4 linked regions of the Drosophila melanogaster genome follow. The protein of the gene in region 2 interacts with the protein of the main gene of each other region in a pairwise test. Each region holds a gene or a part of one and is shown on either strand. Other genes may lie near its edges. The genes, in order: CG10814, CG17230, CG5062 and Bhmt.

Region 1 (4,769 bases), on a different chromosome or scaffold from region 2:
GATTTGCCTGTTTTGAAATGTTATTAAAAAATAACAAATAAAAACAGACTTATTCGGATCGCTGCTTTTCAAAATAAACACTTTGAGTGAATCTACCTTTTTTTTTTCTCCGAGAAATTCATTACTCTGTCTCATCGCTCATTTCATCGATATTTGTCACTATTGTTGTGCCTGATTATTGTTAAGTGCAGGTGGGCTGGCGAAATGGAGCTGCGCGGCGAATGGGGAAAAACTGTCACTTGAATGCATTTTCATTACACCTCATTACATTTCACTTGCATCTGCAATTGTGTCATGTCGCCGGCTTTCGCTGCCGCTGCCTTCGAGCCTATGAATACGGGAATACTCGCAATGAAAACTGCCGAGCGAATGGATTCGTTAGCTGAATGGGCTGTGAGTGTTTTTAATTGAAAACAATAAAGTTCTGCTGGGGGAAACTGGGACTCCTTCCAAACAATGCATGAAATGTAGACGCTGCATCGTGCTGCATACCGCATTTCTAATGCTCTTCAAGTTTCTTAGAATCTGCTGTAGGCCTAGTACTAATATAATAAAGTTATCACAACAAGATATATAATTTTTTACAATACTTTCTTAAAAATATACATTAAAACCAATCCATTGAAACGTTCTACCTTTATTCAAGCTATATCTTCTCATAACTTGTTGGCAATGTATCTGCGATACCTTATATCTTACATTTAAGATACATTTACTCGCTGAGAAGAATCTCAGCTAAAAGCTGAGCATTCGATGGATTGTTCCACTCGCATTCTTTGTTTCGGGGAGAAATGCAAATGGAAGTGGAAATGGTGGAAATGGCGGTTATAGAGCCGCCGTAGATGGATAGATACGAGTCGTATTCGCGCCAGACAATACACTCGAATACAAAATGCGAATGCGAATGCGAATGCGAAAGTGATAATTAAAAATCGCGCCATATATACTGGTTACCAGATATGCTTGTTGCCGGCCGATTCTCTGCTCGTTGTTGTTTTCCCCGGCATGAAATGGTTATTGTTTATGATTTTCCAACGCTGTCGAGCAGGATGTTCGCATTGCAATCACCACTGGTTTGAGTGAAACAATCGATGTGGGTGTGGCATGTGAGCATGTGAATGAAGTGATCAATGCGCCTAACAATGATTGACGCCACTTCCCGCGACCAGGGGCGTCGCCGTGGCATGGGGGGAGGCGCCATGAAAGGGCTGTCGAAGATGGCGCGCTTTTCCACAGCCACGCCCCTTTCCAGCTCGACTGCAGCTGGCAAACAATTATGCAAAATCGCTGGCGTTAGCAGTTTTATGCAGAAATTAATTTTGCATTTTTAATTTTACAGCTCCAGTGGCGGGCGGGGGCTTTAAGCAAGGGGAGCCCAGCTAAAAACAAGAAAAAAAAAAACGCTGCGACAGCAATCTGCACTGCTCACAAAGGATTGATAAGGGTTAGACTTGGATGGTCGAACACTTAAAGAAAAAAAAAGCGAGTTTCTAGATATCTATATTTATGCAATAAGTTACAAATATCAAAGTATTCACATAAATTAGTATGTATTTAGGAAAATATATTCTAAACAGTATGTCTACATACAATATATCTAAAGTATATCATCTAAGGGATAACATATATAATAGTATAATAAATTGGATCAGGTGATAATATGATATTCGAACATATTACGCAAGGCTTCTTGTCATTTCTCAGCTAATTCTTAAATATCAAACAGCAAATATAAGCAAACAGCTTAAAAACTTAGAAAAATATAGTACGTACTTCCTTTTTTTAAGTGTAGCTATGTAAACATCACGCGTTATTTAATCTGGTCCATCAATTTGGCCACGTACCCCTGAGCGTGGGCTTCTTGCTCACCGCCCTAATCAGGCACATCATTCCGCAATCGGAAGACATAGTGGTAGGTTGCTCAAGATGTTCCAAGCGGACCGCCGAGATTTGCCCAGCCAACCGCTTAAGTTGGCTCTGCCAAAGGAGCAGGATCAGTCGCGCCTGGTTCAGGTTCCCGATCCTGATCGTCGGGACATGCAGTTTCCAGACATTTGGCTGCGCGATAATTGCCGCTGCGAGGAGTGCTATCTGCCACAGACACTGAGTAGATTGCCCCAGCTGTGGAACCATCTGGACACCAGTGTGCGGGTCCTGCGGCAGAGCGTGGACGTGGACCAGAGGGTCCTGTGTATAGAGTGGTCCGATGGACATACCTCCCAGTATCCGTTCAGTTGGCTGAGGGAGCGGGACTTCTCATACGCGAATCGCCAGCGTTACCTGCGTGACTTTTACCGCCCGGAGCAGAAGTTGTGGAGCGGTCTGGACTTTGAGAAAATCCGTCAGGTGTTCTACTACCAAGAACTGCTCGATTGCGATTCGGCGTTGCAGCAATGGCTCCAGCATCTGGCAGTTTACGGAGTGGCCATGGTCAAGGAAGCCCCTCTCGATATGGACGTCCTTCGGAGATTGTCCAACCGAGTGGGCTTCATGAGGCGCACCACCTATGGAGAGGAGTTCAGTGTTCGGGCTCAGCCTGGAGGCAGCAACTACGCCTACTTGGCCGCACCACTCCCGCTACACACGGATATGCCCTACTTTGAGTACCTGCCCGGAGTGACCATGTTGCACACCTTGGAGCAGTCCGCGTCGCCCGGGGGTGTCAATCTGCTGGCCGATGCCTTCTATGTGGCGGAGGTGATGAGGGAACGCTATCCGGAGCAGTTCCGGGTTCTTTGCCAGACTCCCGTGGACTGGGCGGACATCGGAAGCGACGGCGATCTGCAGTTTCACAATATCTGGAGGGCACCGGTCATCAAGTGAGTAGATTTAGATTGGGAGTCCAGTAAAGGAGATTTATATTGATGGAGTTCCTTTGATTGCTTAGGGCGACTTAAGAATACATTTAGGTGCAGTCAGACTATAAAAATGCTTATTTTGAGTTCATATTTTTCAAGCAAATTCTGCACTTTTAAAATCTATTTTTCTCGCAACTTGAAATGTTTCAGTTATCTTGAAAAATATTTCAGATATTTTTAGGTGGAGGTAACAATTTGTTGACGAGGGGAAATGCATAGTTGCCCCAGCAGAACTTGGCTAACATTTCGATCTCTTGCAGCTTGGACGCGGAGGGCCGGTGTGTGCGCATCAACCACAGCATTCCGCAGCGCGACAGCCACTTTAGCGTGCCGGTGGAGCAGGTGCGTCCGTGGTACGAGGCGATGGCCACCTTTGTGGGCCTGGCCCACGAGCACTCCTGCAGATTCAAGACCACGCCCGGCGACGTGCTCACGTTCGACAATTTGCGCCTGGTCCACGGACGTACCGGGTACGACGACACGGACCGCAATGTGCGCCACATTCTGGGCGCCTTCGTTGACTGGGACATTGTGTACTCGCGCCTGAGGGTCCTGCGGAATGCCAAAGCCACCTGATGCTCCTTAGATAGCAGGAGCAGCAAGCACATGTTATGTTATGGCTACATTAATTAGCCATCTATCAATGCCAAAATGCTTTGATTGACATCGCAATGTGGTAGCAATAGACAGAGTAGAATCATTAGATTACTTTCGAATTTATTGTGCTCGAGAAATTAAACCATTTATTGACATTTTGAATAAATACTATTTTAATGGTTTCTAATCCTTTGACACGCTTCAATGCTAATTGACATTATTTAATTGGGTTAAACGTGTGATTTAAGGCATTTTGAAGAGGAAGAAGAAGTCACTCGAGAAGTTTACTAATCTGTTAAACGTGAACATCTCTGGCTGATAAGTAATTCTATTAGTTTCGCTACCCTGTAAGAAAGTGACATAGGAATATTAGACTATACGCTGATATTCAAAACTATAAAATGTATTATTCATTCGTAAATATATAGGTAGAATTTTGGAGACTACTATAAGTATTCAATTCAACAAAAATTGGAAAATATTAATTTAATTTAAAATGGTAAGAGTATAAATTGCTTCATGAGCAATATTAGATAACCTAACCTAAATTACAGGGTATGCAGGCAAATCCGTGATTCAACAACTGCTAGCCAAACAGGCCACTGGAAGTGAAAGTCCAGCACACGTCATTGTTTACGCCGGGCAACAAAGTGGCTTATCAGTGGCCAGTTGAGTCAAATTTCAACCAGTATGTCCATATATATGTATATGTACAATAGGTATATATTTCTATTATCAATTTATGGCAATGCCCAGATCAACACCGACTTGGCAGAGCTCTTAGCTCTTGGCATGCGAGTAAATCACACCCACACACCTTCATGATTTTCATTGGACTGGGAAAACTTGGCTGGAATGTCGGGGTGTTTTCCCTTCGCTTTTCTTTTCGGGTGTTTGGGTGCGGTGTCCCGCAGGCAAATCCTTTGGAAATCTTTTTATTTATGTCATTGATGCCACCAGGACCAAGTGAGGTAGCAGAGGAAGCAACCCGGCATCCGACAGCCAGCAGCCGGAATCCGAAATCCGAGTTGGAGCACATGAATTTGTACATGGCATCGGGTAAATCCCTCTAATAATCCACATAATAAGCACTGGAAGTAGCTGTGGCAGCAACAGGCCGAAAGGGTTGTGCCCCGTTTCCCTTGTTTATAAGTTCATAAAAGTCAACGGGCCGGGAACTTCGAATGGGAGACGATTGGGGAGGGGGCAGGCCATAAAAAACGAGCCAAATGCAAGCGGAAAATGCCCAAGAAGAAAGAAAGGCAACCAGTCGCAAATCCAATTTCTTCGGAATGTGTGCGAGTTTTCGGGGTA
Region 2 (5,614 bases):
TTGGCTGGACTAAGATCTTCGGGGTGGCAATACTGGCCCACAGGGTTTTCCGGAATCTCCATTCGCGAAAAGAATTAAAAATGTTTAATTAAACGCAGTCGGAGCGTGCAAACAATGAATAAAACTCAGTGAAACTGGCGGCGGGGAAACGATGTGCCATTGAAAACGCAGAAAAGGCGGCAGCAGACAGTGACACAGCGCGTAAATAAGGAAGGCAATCGAAAGAAATCGATTTTTCAGGGCAGGTGGGCTACCATTAGACTCCCCACACTCATGCACACATATTGATGCAAATCCCATTTGCAGGATGCTGAAACTTTGAAGGAATCCAGAAACTGTAGAGAAGAAACCCCACAGAATGCCGGAAAACCTCGAGCTTCAGCAGTTCCAGGAGGGCGCCCCGCCCCCAGATCCCGCCCCCCGTTGGCTGGAGCGCTTGCAGCGACGATTGGGCGCCGATTGTCCCTACTTGGGTATCCTGCTGGCCACGCTCTCCTCGCTCTTCTTCTCCCTGTGCTCGGTGATTGTGAAGGGACTGGTGGACGTGAACCCCATGGAGCTGGCCTCGTTTCGATTCGTCGGAGTCCTGTTGCCGGCACTGCCCATCCTGATATACACGCGACAGCCGGTGTTTCCGGAGGGCAAGAGGGTGATACTGCTGCTGCGCTGCTTCATGGGCACAACGGGTCTGATGCTCAGCTTCTATGCCTTCCGACACATGCCCCTGGCCGATGCGAGTGTCATCATCTTCTCCACGCCCGTTTTCGTGGCCATATTTGCGCGTGCCTTCCTCAAGGAGCCGTGTACGCTGTTCAATGTCCTGACCATCAATATGACATTGCTCGGCGTGGTCCTCATCACGCGCCCACCCTTTGTGTTCGGTGACACGGCGGAGAGTGAGGATGTCGCTGGGAAGACGTACGACATCTGGGGACCAGTGGCCGCCATATCATCCACACTCTTCGGAGCCAATGTGTACATCCTGCTGCGGGCGCTCAAAAACCTGCACTTCTCCGTCATCATGACGAATTTCGGTACCATCGCTCTGGTCTACACACTGATCGTTTGCGCATCTATTGGAGCTGTGTGCTGGCCAAGCTGCGGACGGGATCGTTGGCTGGTCGTTGTACTGGGCGTATTCAGCTTCCTGGGCCAGATCCTGCTCACGCTATCGCTGCAGATCGAACAGGCCGGACCAGTGGCCATTGCTCGCTGCGCCGACATCGTCTTCGCCTTCGTCTGGCAGATGCTCTTCTTCGGAGAGACGCCCACCGCTTACTCGCTGGTGGGTGCGGTGATGGTGATGGGATCTGTGGTTCTGACGGCCCTGAAGAAATGGGCAGGCACCCTGCCACGCGAGTCGTCGCTGCGGAAGCGATTCAGGCTCATCCTGCTGGAATAGTGTGGTTCCAGAGCAACTAAAAGAGTTCGCGGTTTCTCCCTCGTCTTGTCACATCGTTCTCACCCAATCCCGGCAAGCATCAGTGGCCGGCAGCAAACCCGGTTCATTCATCGTAGACTCTACTTATATCAAGGCTCAGATCGTAGATTAATCAAAATATATAAGAAGGGACGCGTGATATCCACTCCACTCATAAGTAAATACTCGTAGTGCGTGTTTAGTTTAGCCAATTTCGCCGATTTGTTGTTTTGTACATTGTTATACATGCTTAAAATACGGTAATAAATACAACTTATGAATAAAATAAAAACAAGTTATAATTTGCATTTGAATTTCACGCTCTTCTACATGCAAATTTGCACTACATTTTTATATAATTCATTTAAATAGTTATAAATAAACAATAAAATTTCAAATCTACAGCGACACAACATTTTACATTACTTTGTAAAAATTCCGTTACATGTAGAATACAGACGGCGCGACATCGATACATACATCGACATCATACATCGATTGCAGAATTAATTTTACATCCACCTCTAGTTTTTCGTTTGTTTGTTTGTTTATTATTGTTTATGTTTATATTCTCGAAGCACACACACTCGAAAAAACAGAGCAAGGAACGGAAACAGAAACGGAAGACAAGCTGAGGGACTAGAAGCCCAAATCGGCAATAACCGCGTCCAGTTCGTCCTGCAGATTGGTGGCCCGCGATCGCACCTGCACAATTTGATCCTGCAAATTGTCGACGTTCGCCTGGAGCAGCACATTGCACTTCTTCATCGCCGCGAACCGGCTCTCGTGCTTCTTCACGCGCGGCTCCACATTCGCCTTCTTCGCGGAGTTGGGCGAGTCCTGCGGAATACGGTACAGGTGAGCTGGCTAAATAGTTTACGATTCTCTGGGGCTAACTCACCTCTGGCTCGGACTCGCTGCCCGTCTCCGCCTCACTTTCCTCCGATTCGGACTCCTCGGACTCGTCGTCGGATTCCTCCTCTTCTTCGCTGGCGTGCTCCTCCTCGGCCTCCTCTTCGTCCTCGTCCTTCTCCTCGCCGTCCACATCGTCTTCGTCTAGCTTCATGGAGGCAGCCATCTTCTGCACCTCCTTCTCCAGCTTCTTAAACTTCTTGTTCTCCTCCCTGTCATCCAGAGTTGTTTCCAGTTTAAGAACAATACTACATTACAATTTGTACTCACTTGAGGATACTCTGGTTCTTCTTCATGGCTTGCTTGAGGGCGTCCTTCTCCTTCTTGGCCGCCTCCTCTTTGACCTTCAGTTTGGTAAGCTTGCTACGCAGGATCTTGAGCTCCTTGCCAGAGCGACGCTCCCTGCGCTCCACCTTCTTCTCCTCCGGCTCGTCAGGATCGCTTTCGCTGACCTCAGGCTCCAGTTCCGGCGAGCTATCCCTTCCAAAGTTTGCATCGCTTGGTCGACGCGATCCGTCCAAGGATCCACCGCCCTGCAGCCGCAGTTAATGCAAAACGGAAAACGGGAAAGAAGGGATACACACATTGGATTAGTGAGGGCATCCTTGAGCGGGGCCTGATTTTACCTGATGCCGTGCTGCATGGTAGTGGTCGTAGTGGAAGCAATCGTCGTAGTCGTCGTCGTCGTAAGCAAAGCAATTACTAATGTGCGGTCTGTTAGTGCTTGGTGTCGCCTTTGCAAGAGAGCGTGAACGGGTTAATCGGTTAGTTGCCGCGGAGTGCAATAGCAAAGCTTTCAGGGGGATAGGAATCGGGACCGGACGTGTCCTAGACGGGTCATAACACCGCTTTGGTCTGGGCGGAAGCAGAATGCGGGTGGCGGGAGTCTTTCATGCAGCATGCGTCCGGCAGTTGGAGTTTAAGGTCGTCTACACACGAGATCTTCGGACATTGTTTATACCTCTCGTTTCGTTTTGATAAAGATTACATTTTTTAATGTCTACCATGGCATGGCCAGGTCCATTATTTGCTTAAAGAAAAATTCTGGAACCTTTTGAGCATTTCCCCAGAAACTTGATTTTGTTTTGTCTGGAATTGTGTGCAAGCAAACAGATAGCACAGGTAAGGGATGAAGGCACCTTACTTGAAAAGTATGGCTTCCGAAATTTAATACAAATTGAGCTTTGATAAAATATGGTCAGTTTTGAATTTCATTTTTCGCTTTCTCTTGATAATAATTTTACTATTCAACTTGTCTGATTCCTTCTCAACAGCAAGCTGTCTGCTGGCTTCAATCAGATTTCTGGTATTTTAAGTCTCGTGTGCAAACCGTTTTTAAGAAGGAAGAAAACAAGGTGTATCCACGGGTAATCCTTTCCCAGACCCATTCCACATTTGTGTCAAGTGTTGTCAGCTGATCTGTTTCTCTGGCTACAGTGGCTACTAGGGACAACTAACGAGGGATCTAAGGCGGAGTCTACGAATTGCGGTGGCTTCGTTAGCTGCTCCCGTCTACTTGCCGCCCTCAGCGGACGCAGCGAGGCGACGCCGGCGACACTAAAAACAAGAAAGAAGGACTAGCTTCGGAGTCCGATGCTTTGCATACCCTTGGAGATAGTTATGTTGTAAATGGTTGTAATCCAAAATCCTAATCTCAACTGACAACACTTTGAGCAGCATCCCATTACCTACATATACATATTACCGAACCCGTTCTGCAAAAGGAATTACCTGAAGAGCTGCTGCCAACTTGCGTTCGAGCAACTGAATCTGGCGGCGCTGCTCCTCGATCTCCGTCTTGGCCTCCACCAGCTGCTCGGCGGTGCTCTGATAGTTTTGCTCCACCTCCTTGGACACCTTCCGTGCGTCCTCTACCTCGCGCTTCAGGGAGTTGACGTAGGTCTGTTCGGCGGTGGGCGTAGGATCCATGGTGGCCACAATCACATTGGATCCGTACTCGAGATTCTTTTCGCGTGACTTCTCGCGTTCCAGTTCGGTCTCTAGGGTGCGGATTTTGGCCAGCAGCTTCTTGTTCTCGCGATCCTGCGCCTCACGGTTTCGCAACTCCAGTGCCAGCATTTGTTTGGTGCTCTGCAGATCGTCGCGGATCTTGTCGATGTCGTCCAGCTCGTCGGGGCTTTCCTCGTCGATGGACATAGCCGATACGATGCTGGGCCGGGATCCTCCGGCTCCCAAGGCCGTGGCACTGCCCGGTCCGAGTGCATGGCTGCTAGGCGCCTCGCTGAGCATGTTGATCTTCGACTGCGACTTCTGCAACTGCTCCTCGATGGTCATCTGTCGGCGGAACTTGCGCAGACCGTCCAGCACCGGCTTGCTGCGATCGTTGGTCTTCGTTGGCTTCAACTTGATGCCGCCCTGGATCTGCTTGAGCAGCTTGTTGTGCGAGTTGCCCTTCTCCGTCTCGTAGATGAACTTGTCGTCCAATTTGGTTATCGACTTGCACGTCAGGATGGGCTGAGATCTATTAGGATTTGAATTGTTATAAAAGAGATTTTTGAACATTTTCGTGCAGAGTTATCTATTATTTGGCTGCTGGTACTTCTGCACACTTAAAATTTAAGTAAAAGTCATTAACATTTGCCGGATAAAGTGGCGTAAACGCAGTAAGATGCTCTAGGTACTCTTTCCTGTGGCCTTAAATAACTTCAGTTTTCATTCCCTTTTTAATTATCGGGAGTATTGCAGTCGGTAATTACTGCACAGCATGCGGACACCACTCACCTATCGTTGCAGGCCACATGGCGCAGCTTCTTGCCGCTCTCCACCTCCTTCATCATCTCGGACCAGTCGGGGCGCCTTCGGGGTCGAGTCCTGCGAATCGAAGCGAATCGGAATTATGGCCATTCTGCGCCTTCAAGGTAAAAACTATCCCGATGCCAGGATATTCGGGTATGCAAGCACTGGCGGTGGTCAGGGTTCATGGGTCAGTCGTCGAGGTTTCCACTCACCTGAGCTTCTCGAGGGTCTCCTTCTGTGTGCTGCTGAGCACTCTCTTCTCACCGGGAGCTAGGGGCGGGGGCGGCGGTGGCGGGGCCTTGGGCACCAGCGAGGGCAGCGGCGGCGGGGCGGGAACTGCAACAATAAAACACGGAATGCACCCAAGTGGGCGGCGGTTATTCTCTGCCAAATGGTGGGTGGGGCACTCGCTGCAAGTGGTGCAAGTGGGCGCGAGGTTTGGTCGTTGGGCATTAGAGCAAATCGCCGGGCGCTGCGTGCACTCGCGGTTATTAAATATAATTTTAATTTAATGAGTTTGCAATT
Region 3 (5,092 bases), on a different chromosome or scaffold from region 2:
CGAATCAATAGTCATCCGAGTGAAATTAATTTTTGCTAATTTCGCGAATTTAAGTGAAACAAATGCCTCTCTACTTAAACTCAACTTAATTTACCCTAATCCTTGTGTGTCTGTGTGCGCCTTTTTAACCCCCACTCATCTATCGTGGGTTAATTCCCAAAGACGTATTAGCCCGGCGAAATTTATCCAACTCAATTAATCTCAGCGTTCTGTTCTCTGACTTTACAGAATTGATAGCTTCGTGCGAGAAGGCGTGGCTGTGGCGCCTCTTTTGTGATTTATACTCGATTTCGCTGCGTGTTTTGCTTAGTTTTTATCCTTTATACGAATAAATGATATTCAACAAAACTGCGCGAAATCCCTAGATCATAAACTAGTTAATAATTAACCTTAAATAAAACAGTAACACCACTGCCCAAAACTGCATTTGAACCCATTGTTTTTGATTACTTGTGTGGCTAATTATTTTTGCAGCCGCAAATGCGACAGGATAAAGTTGACTTTTAGTTGCACCGAATACCGTGTGCAATCTGTGTGCATATTTAATACATGCAAAAGAGTGAGCGCAGCGATAGAAAAAACTTTGTTTGCTCTATCAGCTGCTGCTTAATGAGTGCCAGTCTATATATCCTTTTGTCTGCGGTCTGCAGTTTTAACTTGTTGAATTGACAGCAAACAAAAAAGGCGAGGAACACACGGAAAAGTTGCCACCACAGGGTGGCTAAAATACGTGCATATACATTATGTACATTTTATATGTGCTGCAAGTTTTAATTCCGCCAAGCTCGAAAAGTCATCATCTATGCCATTGTCAACTTGAGTTCATGTGTGTGTCTGTGTGTGTGTGTGTGTGTGTGTGTGGGAGTGAGTGTGTGCGCGTGTTTGATGCTGTCTGTCTATGGATGGATTTTTAGAAAATATAACTATCTAAGTGAATTCAGCGCCCAGCTTCTTTTTGTTGCCAGCATTGGCGACACGACCCTTTAGCGATTGCACCGCCAAATTGGGCAGACATCCGCGCTTTTGTAGATCATCCAGTTTGACTGTGATCACCGTATCGATTTCCTTTTGCCGCTGCGCCTCAGCTGCCCGCTCCCTTTCGAAGGCCAAGTGTTCCTCCTCCAGTTCGCGGCGACGAGCCTTCTCCCGTTCTTCGATTTGGCACGAGACACTGGAGCGCAGACAGGCCTTTTTGATGGCCTGCTCCTCGGCCTCGCGCTTCATTTGCTCCTCGTGCTTCTTTCGATACTCGATCATCTCCTTTAGTTCGCGTTCACGTTGCACATAGAAGCAGGCCTTCATTTGGCTAAGATGCTCCATTTGCTCCATATTGGCACGCTTGAGTTCGGCGGCCATTTTGCGTTCCTTTTCGGCTGCCTTACGTTCGTTTTCTCTGTACTTTCGTTCGAGGCGTTCGTGTTCCGCCAGGAAATGCATCTCCTCGCGATTATCCTTAGCATCGAGAATCTTTTGGCCGACTGCAAAGAGAACATCCCGTTTGCGTTTCTCATCCGCCGCGATGGCTTCGCGTTCCGCTCGCTGTTGTTTCAATTGCTGCTCCTTGAGCTTTAGATACTCGTAGGCCCTGTTCTCATCTCTTTGATCCTGTTCGCACATCATCCGTACGAAATTGCGATGCAATTTCGTATACTTATTCAATTCATCCCGATAGGCCAGCTTACGGCGCGATTTCATCTCGCCCTCTGCCAATTCAGCCTTTTTATACTCATCGACGGCGGCACGCAAGTCTCGCGCCTCCAATCGCAGACGATCCTGGGCCAGGAAACGTAACTTTTCGCGATCAGTGATTTGTTCACGCACTGCGTTGCCAAATTGCCGGCGCCTCTCCTCTTCGGCCTGATCTTGCTGCTCCACCGTGCCCCATTTGGCATTGTTGTAGTCGCGATTCTTGCGAGCCATCTCCTCGTCATGATCGAGTTGAATGCGATTGAGTAGCTTCCTTTCCTGTATCTGAGCCGTCCACATGGCACTGCATTTGGCCTCGGATATCGCACGCGTGGCATCCTTAACTCGCACATCTGACTCGTATTTGGCATCCAAGGCGCGGTGTAGTACCTACAATGGGTGGTGGAGATATACTTTCGGAAATATGGCTAAGAACCATAAACCAAAAAACTACCTGCAATCGTTTGGCCTCCGCACGCCGATCCTCGTTGACATCCTCATCGGCCTCGTCATCGTCCCTCTTCTGGGCCTCGCGCTCCTTCTCCCTGCGCTGCTCATCAATGTCGTGGAAATAGTTACGCATACGTTCCGCTTCGGCTGTATGATATTGCTGCTCCTCCATCCGGCGATCCTGTTCCGCGCGACGCTCCTCGGTGGTACGCGGCCTCGATGCCCGCATGCGATCCAGTTCGCACTGTGAGAGCTCCGCATAGCCCTTGGATTCCCATGATTGACCCTTGATGTGAAAGAACGTGGCCTTGGCACCGTCGTATTTTCGGGCTCGCGGTGGCGCCTTACCGCCACCCACCGCCGAACGTGTGATCTTCTGTCCAGGCACGGCTACTGGATTCGGTAGACGTGTGCCGGGCGGTAATGGTCGCCTCTGAACCTTTGGCTTTACGGGTCTATCACGGCGTACGCCACATAGTGGCTCCTCTTCGACGGTCGATAATGGTGGCGTTTCCAGATAAATCGGCTTCTTAAGTCGATCATAGCAATCCGGGTGCAGTTTCATCGCAGCTCGCGAACGACATGGCATCACCATTGGCATCTTGACGAATTCTATTCTATATGTATATCGCGTTTGAAATTGCAAATGGCCAGAGGGGTGTGGGGTAAAACGCAATAGCAGATTTCTCGCTTAGCTATTGAGTTTGTTCCTTTGTTCGGTTTGTTGGCGTGTCTGTTTGTGTTATTTGCTCGGAGGCTCTTGTTTTGTTTGCTTGTTTCGTATATTTCGTTTGTTTATCCAATCGAATCTGGCAGGTTAAATCTACATGAATTCAAAGCTTGCTGGGTATAGCATTACAATTACAGGGTATTTGCTGGGAATGTAGGCTCACAGGTACTTTTTGAATCATAGAGTTCCTTTAATAGGTCGGTTATACATTTGAGTATCCCAAAATTAAACATGCTCGTGTACGCTGCTTCTACACTTGTTCACACCTGACCACTTGAGTGTCGTTTTTTGTCGAGTGGCAGGTGAGAAGGAAAAACTAGAGGATAAGTGAAGGGGGGGGGGGGGGGGCGAGGATATATGGAAAGCTAGTTGGGGGAAAAAGGGAAAGGCTGCCGCCGCTGCTGCATTTACTTCCGCCTGCTTTGGTTGCATTCGAAGGCGTTGATGCTTGCATTTTGGAATAGCCCCGACAATTTGCATTCTTTGTATGTAAGTGCCACGCCCATGGCCCGCTTGCCCCACCGCCTACTCTCCCTTCGAAATCCAGCCACCAGGTAGGTGGCATGAAAATTTAATTACACGCCTCGCTGAAACGCAGTGCCTGAATATAGGGGTCGCTGGTTTATTTTTTTTATATATTTTTTTTGTGAAAATCTCGCTGTTGCCCGTAGATTAGGCTGGTGAGAGAAAAAAAAGGATAATGGAGGAATATATATAGTTCAACAAGCTGGCTTTTAAGCAGGGCTATAATACCGCATGTCACTTGCTGCTCGAAAGTGCTCGAAAATGATTATTTTTGCTCAAGTTATGCTTATTTTACGGTATTTTGGTATATGTATAACTTAACTAGCCGGAGTCTTTTGTGCACTCGATACTGACCAAATTCCATTTTAGTCGTCATATGACGAATGCTGGAAGAGAATTCGAAACCGAAACTCAATATCCAGCCCATAGTGTTTGTCTTGTCTATTTGTGTGGCGCTTGTGTTGTTGGGCGCACAAAGAGACATCTCCATCTACTACGCTACTCGACACCCAATACCAAATACTCGAGATTCCGATGAGATGGTGTGGTGGCCGTGGGGCAAATGGTTGCCTTCACTATGGACAACCAACAGCGACCACCTCTGACTGCATGGGTTCCGCCCGAAATACACTCCTGTTCGCCAGACATCAATAACACCGATGTTTCTCACATCGCGCTGAGCGTGAAGTTTTTGCCATAAATATGAATTATTTTTTTTTTTTGGCAAGCAGCTAAAAATCATATTACGTACTATAATATATACGACAAGGGGGGGCATCGTCTCCGTAAAACTTTTCTCACATTTCAATGGCAATAAAAGTGATTTAATAAGGCGCAAAACAACACAACAAAAGGGGCAAAAAAAAAAAAGGGGGCGTACAAATTTTTGGGCAAGGGCAGCGGGCAAGCCAGCCAGAAAAGCGAAATCAATTTGATTTGTCGCCGTAGACGACGACGACGATGGTGGGCGGTGGGACGATCCACCGACCACGCCCATTGCGTGTGATTAAGTGCGCGTTTAATGTGCACGCCATGGCCATAAAACAAATTGTATGCAATCCTGCCACCGAAAGCTTTCGCAATTTACTCCCCACACAACTCTGGAGGAGATTTACCCGGCTTCATCTGTGTGCGTGTGCGTGTGCGTGTGCAATGCTACTACAACTACTACTACAACTACTACAACAACAGCCTCCGTGGGTTTATTCCTCTTTTCTCGCAATCCTTCTTCATTTCAGAGTTCCGTAACTGATTTTGACCCGTAGTCCGTTGGGGAGGCTAAAAACTTTTACAGCTCTCGCTCTGTGCGAGCGCTTTGAAATGTAAATACGGCTCATTATTTCCAATGCCTTGCCATTCATTTGCAAAGTTTCCAGTTTGCCATGGCCCTCACACACACTAACACACACACGCAGCTGCAGCAGCAGCAGCACAACACACACACAGTGGACCTCCGCTCACATGCGCACAGTCACCATGGGATAATTTCCGGTCCACTGAAAATGATTCCTTGGGCATTTAATCGTGAAAGTCATTAAAAATCACTCCCTATCCACAACTACCTTTTAGGGTGGCAAGATTGCAGTCCAAAAGTTATTTGCAACCAACGGTACACATCAATATCCGAAAAATGGCTGTACAAATAGTGTCACAATATACATATATTGAAATTAAATCCAATTTACTGGACTCTTGAACCCA
Region 4 (4,866 bases), on a different chromosome or scaffold from region 2:
TGTTTCCGTCAATTCGTCTGCCCCACAACTGGTGACCATAAATCACTCGATTATTATCAACAAAACGCCGGAGCCACCGATGAACTATAATAATAATAATAATAACCAGACTGCTAAGTCGAGTGGCACCAGCAGTGTCTATGTGAATGTGCCGTCTTTCTCCAGCATGAGCACCAGTTCCTGCTCCATTAACCAGCCACAATCCTCACCAGCAGCTGTGATTCCAGTTCAGGCACCTCTTCCAGTTCCAGTTCCTGCCCCTGTTTCCGTTCCAGCCGTTCCAGTTCCAATACCAGCGGTCGTTACCCATCTGCGTCCTTTGCTGCCCATTGCCGATAATGCGTATGTGCAAATCTCCCAAGATCGCTGCTCAGATTTCACACCGGACGACGAGGAGGAACCCGTGGTGTTGCGTGATGCCGATGTGGTGGCAGACGGAATCGGTATACCTACCCCTGCGAAACCCAAGAAGGAGAAGTCCAATCTGGCTGTAAGGGTTCTGCCGGGAAAGCTCACCCAAAAGGTAAAGGGGCATTCGTACAAAAAAGTAAGCGCGGCTGCCCTTGGATCCACCAGTTCCCTTAGTTCCGGCAGCAAGCAGAAGCACCAGCGATTGCAGTACCAGTCCCACGATGATGACGACGACGAACAGGATCAGGATGAGAATCGAGGTGCTGGAGGCGGCCGCAATTTCCAATCAAACACCATTCAAAATTCTGCCAAAACCGGCTTCAGCAACATGAGCTTTGAGGACTTTCCCTCGGATCAGGAAATGGATCGTCTGTCCAGGACCATTCCCTTCGAGGTGGTTAGAAACGAAAAGATGTTACTCGAGGCGGAGAAGAAGTTCGGCTCCCTCAAGCGACGGAACAACTTGTTCTCATAATGTGGACAGTGGGGCGAGACCATCAAGGAGACCTGAGACTGAGTGTTTCAAATTATGTTGACATTTCGTTTAAGCTTTTCTCCGTTCCGTTTTTAATGTGGGGTTCCAAAAATAACCAATATCTGTATTTTTTGAATATAGTATTTATTCGCGTGTAGCAATGTTAAAAAGTGGCTAGTACCCATACATATTATACACACAACAAGAACAATACCTATAACTGTTATTTAGTGCAAAAATTTAAACTAGTTTTAGAAGCGAAACATGTTTTAGAATTTATACAGTGCGTAAGTTTACCAAAGTTACATTTATTTTTGTGGCATTTTTCAGCTTGAAGTATTTCATGAATTATATATTTATACAAAACTATGTGATTATACACCCACACCCAATAACAACCAAAAAAAAAAAAAAAACAATTTATCACCTAAGCCAATTGCATTCACTAACACACCAAGGTATTTAAGAATTAATTATTCTATCCGTATCGAATAACATACGCGTTTATGTTAGTACACCAATTGTTTTGCATTATGTATTATCTCGACTATATAAAATATGCATATTGTATTTATAATTTACTTCAGTGTTTTCTTTGGTTTCCTTGGGAAAACGCAACAAACTTGCCGCCCTCTCCTAAGCGAATGAAATTTGTATATCATCAACTGTATCAGCTGTTGGGTTGCTTCTAGACAAAAGATAATGCACAGACATCTGTTGCTTATCGAAAAAAATGTATATATAATGTTGCGGTTAAGTACCTCATACAAGTTTTTCTTCTCGTCAACCGCTTGTTGCTATTTTAGTACCTTTGTGACATTAAATGCCATTGAATTTTTACATTTTTACAGTAGGAACTGAACATAACTTGATTCCTACTTGTTTCGAAACATCTTTGATTCTTTATTAGATAACTATATTATTATTTTATTATATTATATGTAGCTATGTAGCTAGCTACAAAATTCAAGACACATTTCTTAGAATTCCAACTTATCGAGTGCTCACTGCACTCGTAAACAAAGAACAGCTGAGATGTGTTAGGGTATGTGTAGGTTTTTGCGTTGTGGAAACTCATACAAGATAAGCGGAAAAAGTTGCCAGCCCAAGCGAAAAAATCCGACAAAAATAACAAAAATTCCAAGTCGGCAATACTTACAATATCACGTATCTGTCAGATACGAAATTTTGTCGTATCGCATTGTACGCTTCCAGAAATTTGCAGTTTAACGGAAAACGTACAGCAGTGAAGACATGGAAGTGAATCAAAAATGGAACTGGGACACCAAGCCAATTCTGGTCAAATGCGGAGGATTCTCCTCGCAATTGGCCAAGAATGTCACCGAAAAAGTGGACGGTGATCCACTGTGGGGATCGCGATTCGATGCCACCAATCCGGAAGCTGTGATCCAAACACATCTGGACTTTCTTCGCAACGGAGCGGATATTATTCTAACCAACACGTATCAGTCCAGCGTCGAGGGATTCGTGAAGTACCTGGGCGTGACCAGAGAACGAGGTGTGGAGTTGATCCAAAAGAGCGTTCAACTGGCCAAGCAGGCAAAGGAACAGTACCTTAGCGAAATCGGTTCTGAAGCGGAGTCGGCTCTTCCACTGATCATGGGCTCAATAGGTCCATATGGCGCCTATCTCCACGATGGATCTGAGTACACCGGCAACTATGCGGACAAGATGTCCAAGGAGGAGCTGAGGGCGTGGCACAAGACAAGAATTGAGATTTGTCTCGCAGCTGGAGTGGATGGATTGGCCCTGGAAACACTTCCATGTCTGATGGAGGCAGAGGCAGTCACCGAATTAGTACTGGACAACTTTCCGGATGCCAAATTCTGGGTCTCCCTGCAGTGCATGGTGAGTAATATCGCAAAAAACAATAACATTCTTTATACAAAACAAGGGTAAAAAATATATCGTTCAATTACATTTAAAAATCCACTTTATGTTCCGATATTTTCAGGATGAAAAGCACATGGCTAGTGGAGAAAACTTCGCGGAGGCGGCTCTCTCCCTCTGGCGGTTGGTCCAAAGTCGGAAGGCTGAGAACCGGCTCCTTGGGATCGGTCTGAACTGTGTAAACCCACTATTCGTGACCCCTTTGCTATCATCGCTTACCAAAGTGGCCGGTTCGGATCGCATCCCACTGGTGGTCTACAGCAATCGCGGCGAGATCTACGACGTCGAGCAGGGAGATTGGACTGGAACCGGCGAGGAGGTGGTCAAGTTTGTGCCCGAGTGGATCCAGCTGGGAGTGCGCATCGTTGGCGGCTGTTGCCGGGTCTATCCGACGGACGTGTTGGCGATCCGCAAGTACGTCGATGGCCTCAACATAAAGCCGTAATCGGGAGAGAACTCCGGTCACTGATAGCAGCCTTGTCGCTAATGCGAAAGCTGTTTCGTGTGACTAGACCTAGACCTATTTAGTTTGCTAAATACATATACGCGAGTACTAGATGTACCCAGATCAGATGGCTTCCTAATCAGCAGAGTGTGGAAAAAAGCGTGGACGGCTGGCTGGGAGACAAACACAGATTAGGCGGGCGGACCAAAGGTAAACAAGTGGGCTGGGGATATGGGCAGACGTTCGCCCAACGACTGTTTTTGCCAACCTAGCTCAATTTTTGAGTCCAAATCAAAACAATTTTCTATTCAATTATAACACAAAAACGTGCATTTGTCCTTTGAAAAACTTGCTGTGTTCTTAGCTTTCTATTCTTTATAGCCGGATTTAAATTCTTTAAAATTAATATTGTTAAAAGTGTGTATGTATGTACTGATGTAAAGCAATAAACTACAAAAATATCAAAAATAGTTGTTTTAGTTATCTTCAATATATCATATTTTTAGTACAGTATTAAAATAATATCTTCATTAGAGATTCATCAAATCTAATCACTTCTTACATATGTACCAAGGCAAACGCCTTCTGGTACGCAAGGTACTTTATAGAGAAGGGTATGCCCTTCTATTCTTGCGGTTCTCGACTTTATCACTATGAAAGATATTTCAAAATTTTTTGGAACTTCATACCGCATTTTTAAAAGAGTACTTACATTTTTGGCTGTTGAAGCTTTTGAGGATGGTGGAGCCACATGTCCACCTATTGCACTCTGACCCAATCTGGCAATCAGCCTAATCGGATACTTCGTTCAAAAAACATGATTTTAACGGCCATTTTCAAATTGAAAGCCTTTTGTCGGTCAATCTCTTACTTTACATTTTACTTTATTTATTTATTTATTTATTTATTTTTTTTTTGTCCAAATATTAATAACAATCATCACTTTAAGCTCATCTCTTTTAGAGGAGATTTTATTTGATATATCTTATGTCTTATTTCCTGTTCATTAGCGATTTGTTTACCAGAATAGGGGTTAAATGTTGTTTTTCTCTTTGACATCAGTAGACCTATTTTTGGACCATAATCTATTGAGTGCGGTCGGAAGCTCACCCATTTTCCTTTAAGGAGGACAGAGTCAACAACCAAGTACATCTTGAAGTGTTGGTCCTAGGCGGCGTCCAGAGGTTATCGGCGTCGACTTAGCAGATGCGACATCCCGAGCAGAGTCACTCGGAAGCCAGAACCACGCACAGCGGCGCTTTGACGATTTCATCAGCTTCATCAGCCTCGTGGAGGGGGAGTCGCAGTCCACCCGGACAATCCAATCTGGCTGGCCAGCGTCTGGCAGCTGTGCACCGGGCTTATCACCCACTTGGTGGGGGCACTCTCATGTTTGTGTTTGCCGTTTTGTTTTGTTATAAATTATTATAAATATTATAAATTTCGCCCTGATAAGCCGAGCCGCACAGCTGAGTGGCCCTTCGGAAAGTATAAAAGCCCCTCGACGATACGTGAAACATTTAAACGTTCGTCGAGCGTCCATTGCGACTGATCATATCCACCGTTCCGAAAGATTTGTGATAACCACTTGATAACCAACCAGCCAGTCTAGTGTCTAATAAAG

Evidence for each region.
Region 1: the proteins of CG17230 (region 2) and CG10814 interact in a two-hybrid assay, tested with the Drosophila melanogaster proteins (one large-scale study listed by BioGRID).
Region 3: the proteins of CG17230 (region 2) and CG5062 interact in a two-hybrid assay, tested with the Drosophila melanogaster proteins (one large-scale study listed by BioGRID).
Region 4: the proteins of CG17230 (region 2) and Bhmt interact in a two-hybrid assay, tested with the Drosophila melanogaster proteins (one large-scale study listed by BioGRID).

Annotation. Positions count from the first base shown.
Region 1 is NT_033778.4:13,374,846-13,379,614, reverse strand, and holds CG10814 (uncharacterized protein), read left to right. Parts: upstream 1-1,883; 5' UTR 1,884-1,926; coding exon 1,927-2,819; intron 2,820-3,118; coding exon 3,119-3,434; 3' UTR 3,435-3,640; downstream 3,641-4,769.
Region 2 is NT_033777.3:11,435,822-11,441,435, forward strand, and holds the start of CG17230 (uncharacterized protein), read left to right. Parts: upstream 1-1,963; 5' UTR 1,964-2,059; coding exon of another isoform or gene 2,060-2,260; 5' UTR 2,261-2,278; intron 2,279-2,321; coding exon of another isoform or gene 2,322-2,544; intron 2,545-2,602; coding exon of another isoform or gene 2,603-2,865; intron 2,866-2,958; coding exon of another isoform or gene 2,959-3,066; intron 3,067-4,063; coding exon of another isoform or gene 4,064-4,814; intron 4,815-5,074; coding exon of another isoform or gene 5,075-5,164; intron 5,165-5,301; coding exon of another isoform or gene 5,302-5,425; intron 5,426-5,614. Other genes in the region: CG5281 (uncharacterized protein), read left to right, coding at 359-1,402; sals (sarcomere length short), read right to left, coding at 2,060-2,260, 2,322-2,544, 2,603-2,865, 2,959-3,066, 4,064-4,814, 5,075-5,164, 5,302-5,425.
Region 3 is NC_004354.4:5,179,444-5,184,535, forward strand, and holds CG5062 (uncharacterized protein), read right to left. Parts: upstream 2,927-5,092; 5' UTR 2,738-2,926; coding exon 2,141-2,737; intron 2,077-2,140; coding exon 928-2,076; 3' UTR 739-927; downstream 1-738.
Region 4 is NT_033779.5:18,954,320-18,959,185, reverse strand, and holds Bhmt (Betaine-homocysteine S-methyltransferase), read left to right. Parts: upstream 1-1,874; 5' UTR 1,875-2,140; coding exon 2,141-2,755; intron 2,756-2,861; coding exon 2,862-3,242; 3' UTR 3,243-3,705; downstream 3,706-4,866. Other genes in the region: Nak (Numb-associated kinase), read left to right, coding at 1-886. UniProt on the Drosophila melanogaster protein: Involved in the regulation of homocysteine metabolism. Converts betaine and homocysteine to dimethylglycine and methionine, respectively.